2 linked regions of the Medicago truncatula genome follow. The protein of the gene in region 1 interacts with the protein of each later gene in a pairwise test. Links are inferred from orthologs where the notes say so. Each region holds a gene or a part of one and is shown in the gene's direction. Other genes may lie near its edges.

Evidence for each region. The genes of interacting proteins can lie anywhere in the genome.
Region 2: the proteins of protein TIFY 8 (region 1) and protein GIGANTEA interact in binary tests that used the Arabidopsis thaliana proteins (3 or more experiments, as listed by UniProt). The link is inferred for Medicago truncatula from reciprocal best matches to the Arabidopsis thaliana genes TIFY8 and GI.

Annotation. Positions count from the first base shown.
Region 1 is NC_053044.1:53,327,403-53,334,762, reverse strand, and holds the start of protein TIFY 8, read left to right. Parts: upstream 1-4,359; 5' UTR 4,360-4,617; coding exon 4,618-4,825; intron 4,826-5,401; coding exon 5,402-5,589; intron 5,590-5,706; coding exon 5,707-6,149; intron 6,150-6,262; coding exon 6,263-6,353; intron 6,354-7,360. Other genes in the region: histone acetyltransferase HAC12, read right to left, coding at 1-677, 843-1,122, 1,259-1,331, 1,437-1,639. UniProt on the Arabidopsis thaliana protein: Repressor of jasmonate responses.
Region 2 is NC_053042.1:47,807,795-47,815,286, forward strand, and holds the start of protein GIGANTEA, read left to right. Parts: upstream 1-4,474; 5' UTR 4,475-4,673; intron 4,674-5,196; 5' UTR 5,197-5,297; coding exon 5,298-5,399; intron 5,400-6,667; coding exon of another isoform or gene 6,668-6,669; coding exon 6,670-6,741; intron 6,742-6,859; coding exon 6,860-6,914; exon of another isoform or gene 6,915-6,934; intron 6,935-7,024; coding exon 7,025-7,167; intron 7,168-7,370; coding exon 7,371-7,492. UniProt on the Arabidopsis thaliana protein: Involved in regulation of circadian rhythm and photoperiodic flowering. May play a role in maintenance of circadian amplitude and period length. Is involved in phytochrome B signaling. Stabilizes ADO3 and the circadian photoreceptor ADO1/ZTL.

The DNA of each region.
Region 1 (7,360 bases):
TTTTGACTCAATGATTTCTTTTTTATCGTTTATCCCATCCTGGATGAATCCAGTTCTGCCTTGAATGTCCTCTTCACCCACATGAACAATAATAAGTTCTTTTTTAGCATTTACCCCCTCCTGGATGAATCCAGTTCTGCCTTGTATGTCCTCTTCATCGTCATCAATATCTTTAAGCTCCTTCCTGAGAGTAGGCCTACTGTTGATTTCCATTGAGTTTCTGCTGTATATCATGCCAGACTCTAAGCCTTTTGAGGGAATCATTCCAGACTCGATAGTCTCTAACTGTTGCTGCACTTCTGAAAGTGTTTCAAAAGAACAAGATTGAGCCATCTCGTAAGTCGATTGATCAGAACTTGCATCATTAACCCAAGAGACGTCAAAAGCAAACTCTGTCATTTTCTGTCTTTTCGTAGGTTGTAACATGGCATGAGTGAAACTGTTCTGAAAATCCAACTCCTGGGATTTATTTCGCCTTGTATCTTCCAGTTCTAAGCACGAACTCGTGCCAGGAGAAAGATTGGATTGTTCCGAAATATCCGCTGAAACAAGTTTAGGGAATGTCGAATGTAAATCTTCAAATTGAATGGACTTTCCCATTGAAGTAGGAAAACTCGTAGACTCGTTATTTTGGATAAACCCCAAACAATCTCTCTGTTTTGACAGATTCATCTCCACTGCAAAAGTAGCAAATTAAATGGGTAAAGCAATGCATTTGTTAAAAACAAAAATAATTCTAGCAAAGAAAGAAGCACAAAGTCAGTAATATGCAAAGATGAAATCAATATTGCACGAATAAGGATTAAAAATTGGGGAGAAATCACAATCTAATTTAAACATACCATTATTTGCGTGTTTCAGAGGAAAATAGTTGCTACTTGATCTGGTGTTAGCATCCAGATTGCTTCCACCATACAAAACGGGTAAGTTAGGAAGCACACACATATCAGCAAGTAGGGGGGTTGGCGAACCATCATCAGGAACGCAAGGCAGGCCATGAACAATAAAAGGGTCAGATAGTCTCCCTTCTGGAACGTCATAATAACCAGCGGCATCAGACTTGGAAAGACCCACTAGAGCTTGCATACGCTGATTCAACGTCTCTAGGTTCATATATTCCTCCTGCCAAATTCGTAGAAAAACAACTGTGCTTAATTGACAGAATACAGGTATAGTTTGCATTTTATACTATTATATGCAAATGTTGTTAGCAAAAAAAAGCACTTTATGTTCAGACACAACATTTCAAGAAACAAACCTTTGAAGCAGCAGTGGTAAGTAGCAATAATTCCAGCATAGGGGCAAATTGCTCATTCTGAATGATTTCAAAACTGAATAAAATTTATAGTTAGCATAGTCTCAATTCAATTGCAATCTTAAGTTGAAGCAAACTGAAGCAACCACGTTTCTATGAAAATTAAATCACTTTCACTTACATTCTTTTTCTTATCCAGTGACGGTTGTATGCCATTTCAGGATGATAACGCCAGTCTGTGGAGAATCCTGCTGGATTACTTACATGTTGACTGCATAATTTATCAAAACATCTCTTTTGCGGAGTGTTTGAGACAACTGATGAAGAATTTCTTGGCAATTCTCTCCAAATATTCCCACCAAGTTCAGAACCCTTCGCAAGCATCTTTTCAGCTTATCAGAAACAATTCACATTCTGAAGCCACAAAAAATAATACACAAATATCAGTTAGAGAAAATTCCAACAATGTTCTTGACGCACCATAAAGAGGGAAAACATGATTATCATAACTTTAAACAAGCTCACAGTTAAATTTGTCAAAATTTATCAAGAATTCGTTTATTAAGAACCCACATTTATTTGTTAATTCATTCAGGTTGAGAATGTGAATTAAATCGATTAATGAAAACGGAAATTAAGAACAAGATTGAAGTTATTATGATCAAATGATAACAATACCGACATTGAAAAACGATGAATTGATTAAGGAGTGCGCTAAAAAGAAAAGGCCCAATTACAATGAATGAAATTAGGGTTAGGGTTAGGGTTTAAGAATTGGGGATAACACTGTAGAACACAAAGATAACGTTAGAGAGAGAGAGAGAGAGAGAGAGAGAGAGAGAGAACAACCTGTATCGCTGAAGCTGTTGTTGTTGTGGTCCCTCCCTTGTGTCTCTTTCTTTATTCCTCTTCTTAACTTCTTACACGAAGGAGTATTTATATTCTTAGTTTAGGGTAATCTCTTGTTTAATTTAACATGAAAACAACAAGATAATTACGAGATTAATGTGATCCTCCTCATTTGTAATACTATGTCGGTTTCGAAATGAATGTCGTTTTAGGAAATGCAATAGTCTTGTCTATAGATTTGACATTTTTACTAAAATAGTCTTATTGACTATTGGTGCATTTCCCATCATTATAAATTAAAGTAAAATGTGGTACTTTGGAAATAGTGTGTGCGTAGTAATAATTAAGGGGTATTATTGAGAAAAAGTAATTAATAGTACATTGAAAACTAAAAGCGACATTCATTTTAAAACATCTTTTTAGCTAAAATTAGACTCAGTTTGAAATGGATGGATTATTAGTCTAAGATATGGTAGTGGTTTTTGTTTGTTGACAACTTTTAAAATAATGGTTGTTCTTAACTTTAACTTCTGAACAGTATTTATTTTTTGTTTTATTTAAGTTTTACATAATTTTTTTTTTTTGGAAATGTTAAAAGGAATTTAGGGCACTAGTTTTTTTTAGGGAATTTAGGACACTGGTTAAAAGGATAAAAACATAAATATTGCATTGAGAGATTGTGAAAAATGATGGATTTTATGTTTTAAAAGTTAAAATATCGTTGAATCAAATGTAAGTCTCCTACTTTTTGTTTATTTTACAAATGTCATAAGGATAGTTATTTACATAATCATTTTTTTTTATTATAAAAGATTGAGATAAATCTTCAGTATATAACATAGGGAAATGATGAAGGGTGTGATAGAGAGTATCTTAGACACACGATGTTTTGATCTATTAAAAAATAAGTATTTTTCATAATAGACATAACAATACTTACACAACATAAGATATAACAACACACGGTAAACTTTTAATATATCAAACAATTTTTTATTTTATATGATGTTTGATAAACAAAAGATTATTTTTGTCTTTTAAAACTTGTACTTAAAAAAAGTGTTATGGTGTAGTGATGAATACAAATTTCCGTTAGTCGGACCTCTAGTTTACTATATCTCTAGAACAATTTTAAAATTAAACACAATATAATTAAAGTTGTTTTAGCATCAAACGAGAAACTAAAGTGTTTAGCATGAAATAGTTAGCGAGTTCTCAATAGAAAGAATCGTTTGAAAAAACTTGAGTTTATTTTTTAGGTTTAATTGCGCTTTTGGCCCTCTATCTTTTCAAAAGTTACGATTTTAGCCCCCTAACTAATTAAAATACAAAACAGCCCCCTATGTATTGGATCTTTGGCAGTTTTGACCCCCAAAATATATGCCTCGCTTGGTGGACAAGGCCATATTTATCGATGCGGTGGTTGAAGAAAAATGTTGTAACTGTTTCTATTGAGTTATATGGGTGGTAGCAACGACCTTTAAATTGTTTGAGCGTTGATAAGATATTTTTACTTTACTTCCTCTTACCGGTGAATTGTTGCGTTTGAACTTTGTTGCTCTTCCTTAATCTTTTATCCTTTAATATAAATTGAGGAATGATATTTTGACAACCAATTTCCAACAACTTTTAGTGACAATTTTTTCCTCTCTTTTCATTGGACAATAACAATAGAGAGAGAAAAATGAAGAGAGAGAATAAAAGTACAATAAGAGTATGAGAGAGAGTTGTCACAAAAGTTGTTAAAAAATGGATGTTAAAATATCATTTCTCATATAAATTTCATCTTGCCTTGTTCAAAAAAAAAATGTCGTCCACACTTAAAAAAAAATCATTTTTTTAACACGTTGAAGCTTTGATGACTAAACTAGACAATATCTACGAAGGACTAGCACCCTATATCATTGTGTAATGTTCGGTATAGTTTAAATCAAGTAATCTTCTTCTCATACTCAAAGATTGTTGTTAATGATGCGTTTAATCAAGAGTTTTTGATTGCATTTATATTTTCTTCTCATATGAAGTTTTCTAAAAAAAAAAAAAAAAAAAAAAGCTAGTGTGATGATTCCAACTTCAATGAAATTTAAATGAAGGGTTAATGGGGTAAAACACCATTAACCCTTAAATGAAGTAGTCATTTACTATAGTGCAAAAAAAGTAGCACAGTACAAACTAAATTATTTTTTAAGCTGATATTTTACAAGGAGGGGTCTGAAAGTAAAAAAGTAAGAAGAAAAACTGACAAAAGGTCCCGAATTGAATTGATTACAGCTCAACTGAAACAAACGTTAGAGACACGAAGAGAGTGTGAGAATGATACAAGAGAAGTTTTGTACAAAAAAGACAAACATGCATCCATTAAAATCAACCAACAACAGAAAACTCCACAACTACATTTTCTAACAACACAAAGAAAGAACCTTTTGCTTTTTCACCGAAAACGATTGATTCATTCCTCTCTCTCTCTCTCTAGCGTACTTCACAGCTATGCAGCAGAGTGAGATGGGTAATCAATGGCGGTTCTGAGAATGGTTCACTCACACTCACAGTCTCAAAACAACAACAACAACAACATCAGTGGGACCCAACACTTCCTCCATGATTTTCTCGGCATGAAGCCAACTGATACTTCCATCGACGTTAGGTTACCGGAGGCATCAGCATCTGCCTCCTCCGCCGGTGCTCGTGGCCCTTTCTCCTCCACCTCCGAAACCGCTTCTGGTAAGTACTATTAAACAACTAAACTTTTCATTTTTAGCCACATTTCCCCCTTGTTTCATTTTTTTTACCGAGTTTATTCTCATCCACTAAACTTCTTTACTTTCCATTTTTTTCTCTTTTGGTGGGGTATCAATTTATTCCCTCATTTTTTTTTTGTGTCTTTGGATTTGGGTTGTTTCAAGTTAGTTGGAGTTGATTGTTTTCCCCTTCGTATGCAAATTTATGGTCATGATTTTCTGGACTTTATTTTGCTTTAGAGTATGGTGTATGATTTGATTATTTGTTTCCATGAAATAATTTAGACTCAGAGAATTGAATTTAATCATTTTATACTGAAAATACTATTATTTTGAACTGAAAACTTTGTTATGTCATGTGAATGTTTGTGCATTGGGAAGTACAATGATATGAATTTTTAGGTTTTATCAAAATTTTTGCTTTTGTGTTGGTCTGATTTTTCTTTTTTTGGTTTCTTATTCTGGAAAGAGTTATAATTGTAAACACACATTGTTTATAGTAAGTTTCTATGTTATCTTTAAAAGGAATGTAATGTTTTTTCCCTCATCAATTTGGTAGAAAAGCAGGTATCGAATCATCTTGAGGGAGTTCCATTCTATGGCCCAAGAAGTGATTTTTCTGGCACTGAGATAAGTAACAGACTAGTGGGGAATAAAAGAAGTAATTCTGATTCCTCATTTATGGGTTCCTCCAGAGATGCCTTTCAAATGGTCCCTGATTCCTTTCAAAACTCACATTTGATGAAGGTTACTTTAAAATATCACTTAATTCTTTTCCTCTAATATATTCAATAGCCAAAAAAAAAAAAACACTTTTGCTTTTATATTATTTTCTTTGATGTCTTAAGTCCTGTCTTCGTACAGGTCCTCCGAAATGCATCTGGGGGAGAGAGATCCAGAAGGCCTAATGATGACGAAGTGTTACTTGGTATGCAGTCAATGAAGCCATCTTCTAGTTCTCAGATATTTCATGCTCCCGCCAACACGAAGATCGATGCGAATAAATGGGAACGGTCTATTCTCATGAATGCTGGCCCTTCCATGCAGCATCCTCCGCGTGGAGGACAGTTGACTCCTTTTGCACACCAACTAGCTTCAAACAAGCTTAGGGATACCATTGTCGGCCCTTCATTTATCTCTCAGCCTGCCGCTGATGAAGGATCTAGAACTGGAATCAAAGGCCCTGGAATTTTAAGTTCCATAAACACAGCTTCTACTGCTACTGATAAAATCTCATCTGTAGTGCTGCTCGGTGGAAGCAGACCAAAACCTCTAACTAACATAATTGAATCATCCACGCCCCCAAGGTAAATTTATCTTATATATACAGTTGCTCAATTCACCTTGTTTCTATTTATTTTCACTCCCTTTACCTTGGAAAAAGAAGTTGATTGACTTTATGCATTTTGGCATTGAGCAGTAGTCAACATGGGCTAACAGCTGCCAGCCGCCAGATGACTATCTTTTATGGAGGTCAAGCTCATGTTTTTGATGATGTCCACAAACATAAGGTCTGACCTCGTATTCTTAACGTGTCATATCTGTTAACTGCATTTAGTGAAATAAGGCCTGAAATTAGTTTGGATTTGTGAATCATCATGGGTAACAAATTGTGCCTTAAAAAACTCGCTCTGCGGTTCATTCGTGGTTGATTTAAAGATCATTCAATCTACTTACAGTTAAATTTAAACTCATCAGGTTTCAGCTGAAATATGGTATTGATAGTCGGAGTTAATTTCCGTACAACACTTATGTTGCTGTTTCTACAGCCTATTTTGGTAGTCATTGCACAATATGGTGGATGTGCTGAACCTATAATATTTAGGGTTAATAGGTCTTTACCCCCTGTAATATAGGTCATTTCCGGTTTTCCCCCTGTAAAGTTTTTATTTTGATTCACCCCCTTGTAAAATATTTTTGTTTTGATTTACCCCCCTAATAGGCCAAACAAAAACGAAAATTTCTTGAAAAAAAAAATAAAATTTGTTTTTGTTTAGCCTATTAGGGGGTAAATCAAAACAAAAATATTTTACAGGGGGGTGAATCAAAATAAAACTTTTACAGGGGTGAAAACCAGAAATGACCTATATTACAGGGGGGGTAAAGACCTATTAACCCTAATATTTAATAGAAAAAGATTTCATAGCAACCAATCATACATTTGCTTAAGCTTTGGGTACACCGGTGGAGTCACTTTTGAAAACAGTCTTTTTCTCTTACTGGTTTAGTTAGACATTACTAGTATATAAAGTCAGCTTAGGGAGTGTTCTTTATAAGGAATGTATTTGGATGATAGTTTCTATGGATTTAGTTAAGACATTACTAGTATATAAAGTCAGCTTAGGGAGTGTTCTTCATCTTATTCTTTCTAGGATTTTTTTCTTGATCTTTTCAATATGTTTCCCCGCTGAAATTTGGAAGTTTTCAAAATTCTCTAAAAAAATGTTTGGCTTTCCAAACACATTGCTGATGCTAAGTTAAAGTTAAATTCACTTGTGTATGTGTGTTAGTAAGTAGC
Region 2 (7,492 bases), on another chromosome or scaffold:
TTAATTTTTATGATTGTCAAACATACATCTTAGAATGGCTTAGTTAGTAAACGTAGTATAATTCAAATGGTTTGTTCAAATATGCACTGATCTTAAGGTTCACAATTGCATGAGACTAGGAGAATCTGTATTAAATTAATTGGAACATTCACAAGGGTGGGAATATATTATGATTGCATTTAGAACCTTAGACTATACATTGAAAATGATTTGGAAACATTTTAAAATCATCGATGAGTTCCTCTAAAAAAAAATCATCAATGAATTTTGTTTCATAAAAGATCATGATTCGATTCATACATCGTCTAATGTTGAAAATCAAAATACATATAAAGTTGATCATATATATATATATATATATTTGCATAATCTTTATATCTCTTTTACTTTCTATTTTCTCCAACTTAGATGCATTTTAAAAGTACAAATAAAATCAAATGAATCATATTTAACATCAAAATTTTAGTTTTAAAGTATCATGTCTTTTTATATATTTTAGTCTTAAGCATGCCTTGTGTGAATAAAGAAGAAAACCGCTACTAGAAAACCATTTCCATTTTCCCCTACTTCTTCTGTTGAAAAAGTTTGACTTAACTAATACAAAATTATGTTATTTTATATGTTAAATAAATTAAAGCTGCTTTAAAGAAAGAAGAATCAACCCGTCAAGTAGAGCACTAATTAGTGGTGGTATCTTTCAATCAATCAACACTGACTAACGTGTTTAATTTTAAACTATAAATTGCACTAGCCATTACTAAATCAATATGTTTCTCCACTTTGAACAAATTTTATTGAATGCTTGAATGTTCTTGTCTTGTGATATTTAATTTTTGAAAAAAAAAAAGGCAAGAGTGGCCAATAAAACTTAAGTCAACTAAAAAGCAAGAACCTATTAGCATTTGCTAAATATGGTAATAGCAAGACAAACTATGTTTACCATACATGACCAGTCAGCCCTTAATGGTGGCTTAGTGCCCTCCGAAAGGATGATCATGAAAGGTTTGCTGAACATTAATGGGTTCCTATACAACATTGTAAATTAGTTTAGGTTGACCTTTTGAAATGTTGGGATAGTGGGATTCACCTATATCACTTTCATGTGGAGTAAACACGTTTAAGATTAAGGAGTTATGATATTTTTTTGGTTTGTTTTACACTATGATTTATTGGGAGAATGTGTCATGTTTATTTGGAGTTCAACCAACTCCTAAGTAAAATCTGAAAAAAAAAATATTTTAATTAAAATTTGAACATAAAATTTTCCACTGAATCACTTGGTTATTACAAGTGATAATTGTGTTGTGACACTATCACGGCGATATTAGGGTTGTTTATCTCGAAGAAAAAAAAAAGATGGTTAAGGTTGTTCATGGAAAAGATGGTTAGAGTTGATTAAATTGTCAACTACATCTTTTGTGGGTGATATGTAAGTAATATTTTACGGGCCTTGAGATCTATCCTGATTAAATTATGCATTCATTTCATTATTCCTCTCTTATATATTGTCCTTTTGTGATTAAGCCTCTTATAGATAGTCTTATTCCACATAATAAAAATACCAATGAGTACTGAAATAAAAAAACAAATATACCAATAGACTTTTTTTCTTACAAGAAAATTCGGTTGAAAGTCCTCTCTAAGAAATCGTTCAGTTTGAAAATATAAATGTCTATTTAAACAAGTCTTATAAATTTTCTAAAACTTAAAAGAATATTCTTATATTTGAGGACAAAAATATCTAAGAACCTTTGAATGAAATGATTCAGGTTTAACCAGAGATTGCATGTTCAAGAAATGCAACACCACTAAAACTCTTGAGAAGAGCTCTGTTGTCTTTTTTTAAGGGAGATTTGTTGTCTTTTATAAGTTTATTGAAATTGAGATTGATTTTTGGAGTTACTTGTACAAGACACTACTGATTAGAAAAAGGAAAAAAAAAGACCCAGACACAAATATCTAGCACACAGTTTTTTAATTTTTTTGAAGAAATCTAGCACACAGTTGACACCACTACACACCGAGGCAAAGCCAACCCACTAACGCCAAGAACTTTATATTTTATTGGCTGCTGTCTCGCTCCAATTATTTCAACTTTTTGAACAACACCCAATATTAAAAGGGAAATGCTCACAAGTTGTTTAAAAATATTAGGGTTAATTGCAATTTTAGTCCTCCTATTTTTATTATTTTATAGAATAAGTCCTCCTATTTTAAAATTTGACAGTTTTGGTCCATCCATTATATTTTTGAACTATAAAAATATGATCTGATAAATTTTAAATATCGTGGAATATGATCTGAAGATGAAAAAAGATCAACATCCATAAATTGCAACAAAATTCCCTTAAAAACTTTATTTAAAACATATCATATCACAATATTTTAGACAAAAAAATTGATACAGGATCAAAATTGTCCAATTTTAAAATAGTGGGACCAATTTCGCAAAACAATAAAAAGAGGGGACCAAAACTGCAATTAAAGTGCCAAGAGCAAGTTCAAAATTTGCACAGTTTTTTTTTACAAAAAAAGATACACAAATTTTCACTATGTTTAATTGCAATTTATATTTGAAAAGGTAATCAGACGACAGGTTAGAAAAGGCTTACACGGGACAATAACACTGAAAAGAAACTACAAGGTCTTCTTGAATGAGGCTTATGCTTGAGTGCAGACAGTGGGAGTGTTTGTTGGTTTTGCTTGTGGTGTGCAAGAGAACTAGCTTTGTTGTAGGTTCCAATGGATATTGTAGATAGTATTATATTTTGATGGAAATGAATGGCATTAATGGTGAAACAAGAGGGAGATTGAAATTTGGTTGTGGCAAGAACAAAGTATTTGAACATGAATAGGGTATTGTGTAATGTCCAGATGGGCGCCATTTAGTGTGCAACCTTAAGGTGATGCCAATTGTAAATGCAAATTCCTTCAAAAAAAAAAAAAAATTGTAAATGCAAATTGGATTACGGCTAACACAAAATTTCCCACTTCATTCTCTAAAAAAAAATCTTCCCACTTCATGACTTATATATATTTTCCTAGTATCACATAGTCTCTACTAAAGCTCCACTCGAGCCTCAAGCTTGTGTTAAACAAAAACAACAAGTTGCCAATCTACATAGGCTCAACACTTTCTTTGAAAATGTGGAGCGACTCGTCATTGCATGGAGAGATCTTGTAAAAAAAAAAAAGTACCAAGCCTATATTTGGTAAATTAGTATCACAATGGAAATGTCAGAATAACGGGAACCCACCGTGATTTTTCAAAAACTACATAATGTAGCTTCTACAAAATTATGATGGATCACCGTGATTCTGACATACTCTCTTTGATATCAAACTTACGCCAAATGAGACAATGAGTTCAACGGTTCAATGATCTTGATCCCTAAACAAATAAAAATTCATGAAGAATGATTGAAGACGAATAAGAAAGAAAGAACGCAACGATCGACAACAGTTTCATTTTTAAATTGGGAGAAGTAACATGAATTAGGGCATAATTTATTTTATTGTTATTTTAATTTAATATTATATTTGAATAATAAAAATATTTTTAAAATAAAAGTTAATGAATAAATAAAATTATTAATGATATGGAAATTCAATGCGACCAGACAACTGGTGCCTCATCATTAATGAATAAGGCACATCAGCAAAATTGATTCCAAAATGAGATGGAGGAGAGAAATTTTAAAAAAGATACATTTAAGTAAAAAAATTAAAATAACGACTTTAAACATCAATCATCCCCAATACACATAGAGTATAAGGAAGGTAACATAACATTCTTTTAAAGGAAGGTAACATAACAAATATATATATATATATATATATATATATATATATATATATATATATATATATATATATATATTTATTTTTTTCCTATCAATTTTTAATATTTTTTAAAATGTAAAAACACCATGTAATATAAATATTATTTAAATTTGTGCAAAAAAATAAATATATATTATTTAAATGTATAATCATATCATACCATAATTATAATAAAGTAAATTTATTTGCTGATATGATAATATATTTTTTTTTCCTTCAAAAAATGATAATATATTAAATTGTAAAAAAATGATAATATTGTTTTTTTGGTGGTGGCCGGGATTTAAACCCCGAACCTTGCATATCAATTGAACTAAGCACACGTGGCAAATGATAATATCGTTTATGTAAATTTGCAAACGTTAAATATTTATCTGAATTTCAATTCTATGTAGTAGATATAAATTCAATAAGAAGTAATATAAATATGAAAGTCTGATAGTAAAATATAGTGATGTTACTTAATATGGTTGGGACAGGGCATGCATGCATGCATGAATGATACATACATAGATATAGCACATGAGATGGCGTGGATGTCTGAGAGGAGAGGAAAATATCGCATCCACGTATGCAGTCGATCTAGGCTTCTCATTACAAGGCTGTTAAAGATCTTCTCTCTCCACTTGTTGTATTCTTCTTCTATTCTATCTATCTATCTAACATCTTCATTTCCAAACTATAAACTTACCACAACCCTCTTTCTATCATTTCTTTCCTCCTTTTGATCATTACACAATACTCTCCATTCTCACACTTACATCTTCTCATCCTATCAATTCAGAAAATTTCCAATTAGCTCTACACACAGCTCAGCTAAGCTAACCCAGGTACATATTTTTCTTTCTATTTTTTTTAACACAATTAAACCATCAGTTTTCAGGTTATGTGCTAATTTCTTATTTCAGTTTCATCAAATTTTTTACTTTAATTTCTTCAAAAAATTTCTATTATGAATCTGACTTGTTAGATATATATTTATTTTCTTAATTCTTTTTTTATTTATAAGCCTTTAAATATTTAGCTTACATATTTACTTTTTTATATTCTGTAAATTTCATTTTGCTCTGTTTACCAGGACTCTGTTTCAGATTCATCCCTATCTTCATCATTTCAATTTTTTAAATTAACATTTTTCACAGTGAAAATAAATTTAGAAATCAATAACAATTTTGTTTTAAAGTTTGCAGATTCAATCTCAACATAGCAACCTAGTAGTTATTGTAGTGAAATAGCTACAATTTTCTATGAGATGCATTTGTTTGTCTTATTCTGTCAAATGAAAAAAATTTGAATTATTATTTTTTGGTGGATGATGATGAATTGGATACTAAGATGAGTTTGGTAACACAGGATTTAATACTTGATTGGTATCATGTTTTGGATGGATTTGGGATAAAATTGCTTTTCATATATAATCAGAAGCTAAAGGATTCAAGAGTTGAAAGTTTTTGATGACTTCTTCTTCTATGGCTGCTACAAGTGAAAGGTGGATTGACCGTCTTCAATTTTCTTCATTATTCTGGCCTCCCCCACAAGATGTTCAGCAAAAAAAGGTATCATTTTAATCTCTTACCATGTTTTAGGAAAGTTATTTTCTTTACTTTTTTCATGTATATGTATTTTTTTATTAAATTTTTATGAGTTTTAATATAAAGTTTGCCTTAAGGACATGATGGGATGGAAGGATCCTAATTATTATTATTTTGTTGAGTTTGAAGATTAGAAAAAGTTTTAAATATGCATCTAATCATATTTTCACAAAATATCGCTTTGTTATATTACTTCATAAAATATCTTCACAAATATCTAATGATGAGATACGATTGGATGTATGTGTAAACACTAAAACATTTTTATAGTTAGTGTATCGTTTTTAAACTCACTCTATTTTGTTTAATGATCCAATGTTTGATAAAAATCTTTTAGAGTTTATTCCAAAAAAATCTTTTAGAGTACTAGGGAATTGAAAATTTTATATCGGTATTCTTCAAGAGGAGTAGCAGATATGGAGATGTTGTTAAAGAGACATATACATACAACGTCACACAAACATATGTAAATAATACATGATGATGTGATGTGATATTTCAGAATCTATGCATATGCTACAATCAGCAGGTCTTGGCGTTGGATGAAGATCAGACAAATACATATTTTGATTTTATCAAATTGGATTTAAAATACAACACAGGATATGAACTGTCTGATCTTCATTGAACAACTGAGATCTATCGACAGCAGGAATAATTTGTTTTGTAACTTTCTAGTTATGGCAATTGCAAACTTTGAAGTAAAACAAAGTGTCCCAGAAATGGGGTGATATAAGCATTGACTTTGTGGGGCCAATTTGATTACAGTTTTAGCAAACATTTACAAGAAAAGAAAAGTTGAAGTAATCTTACAATCAATTATGAATTTTCTAAATAATAGTTTCTTGCATAAGTTGAAATTAACTTTTGCACCTTAACCTTTTCAAAACACGCTGCATATAACTTCTCCATAAGCAGTCATAAACTTATAAGGACTTTTTTTATAAGTTAAGAGTCAATTACTTATCTCAGCTGATGCTTCCACTAGTTAGAGCTAATTCTGACTGAGCCGCAGTGTTTTGTCAATGTGGTTTCACACAAGTTTCCCGCGTATTGACAATCTTTTCTAAATGTATCTTGCTAGGTAGAAAGCAGCAGTGTTTTGATCATTTGTTATGCTGAAAATAATTGTTTCTTATTCCATATGAAAGCATTTTATGGCTTCTAGAATATTGGAAGCTCACTGTAACTCCATTTCATTGGTTTATATGATGTTGTTTTCTGCTTTTCCCAGGATCAAATTGCTGCATATGTTGAGTACTTGATTCAGTTTACATCAGAACAGTTTGCTGACGATATTGCTGAGGTACACTTCTATTTACTTATTAAAATTGTGATTCTTATTTTTTGTGGTGTTGTTTTTGACATGAGAGATCCAAGAGTTTTTATTGAATGTCACTCACTGTTCTGTATTACTTTGACAGTTGATCCGCAACCGTTACCCGTCGAAGGAAATTATTCTCTTTGATGACGTTTTGGGTATTTATGCTTAATCCCATGTTAGTTTAAATCATGCTTGAGTCGACAAGAATATCACTCTTTCTACTTTATGTGTGCTAACTTCTCTATGTATTTACTTGTACATCCAGCAACATTTGTCCTTCATCATCCAGAGCATGGGCATGCAGTTGTACTTCCTATTATTTCGTGTATTATCGATGGTACACTAGTCTATGATAAGACTAGTCCTCCATTTGCTTCTTTGATATCTTTAGTCTGCCCAAAAGATGAGGTATAAATATAATCCTTGCCCGGTATTCTTATTTACTTTGTATATAATTCAATTTCATATCAATAAATCCTTTGTTTGTGAAATATAATATTTTTGCTTTCTGTTTCTCTGTTTATTAACCAATTACTTATAGCACTTATTCAGTTTCAGTATTAACAAAGAGACTCTCTATCATTTAATTCCTTCTTTTCATGGTTTTGCAGAATGAATATTCAGAACAATGGGCTCTTGCATGTGGTGAAATTTTGCGTATTTTAACTCATTACAATCGCCCCATTTACAAAACGGAAAGGCAATCCAGTGAAACAGAAAGAAGCAGTAGTGG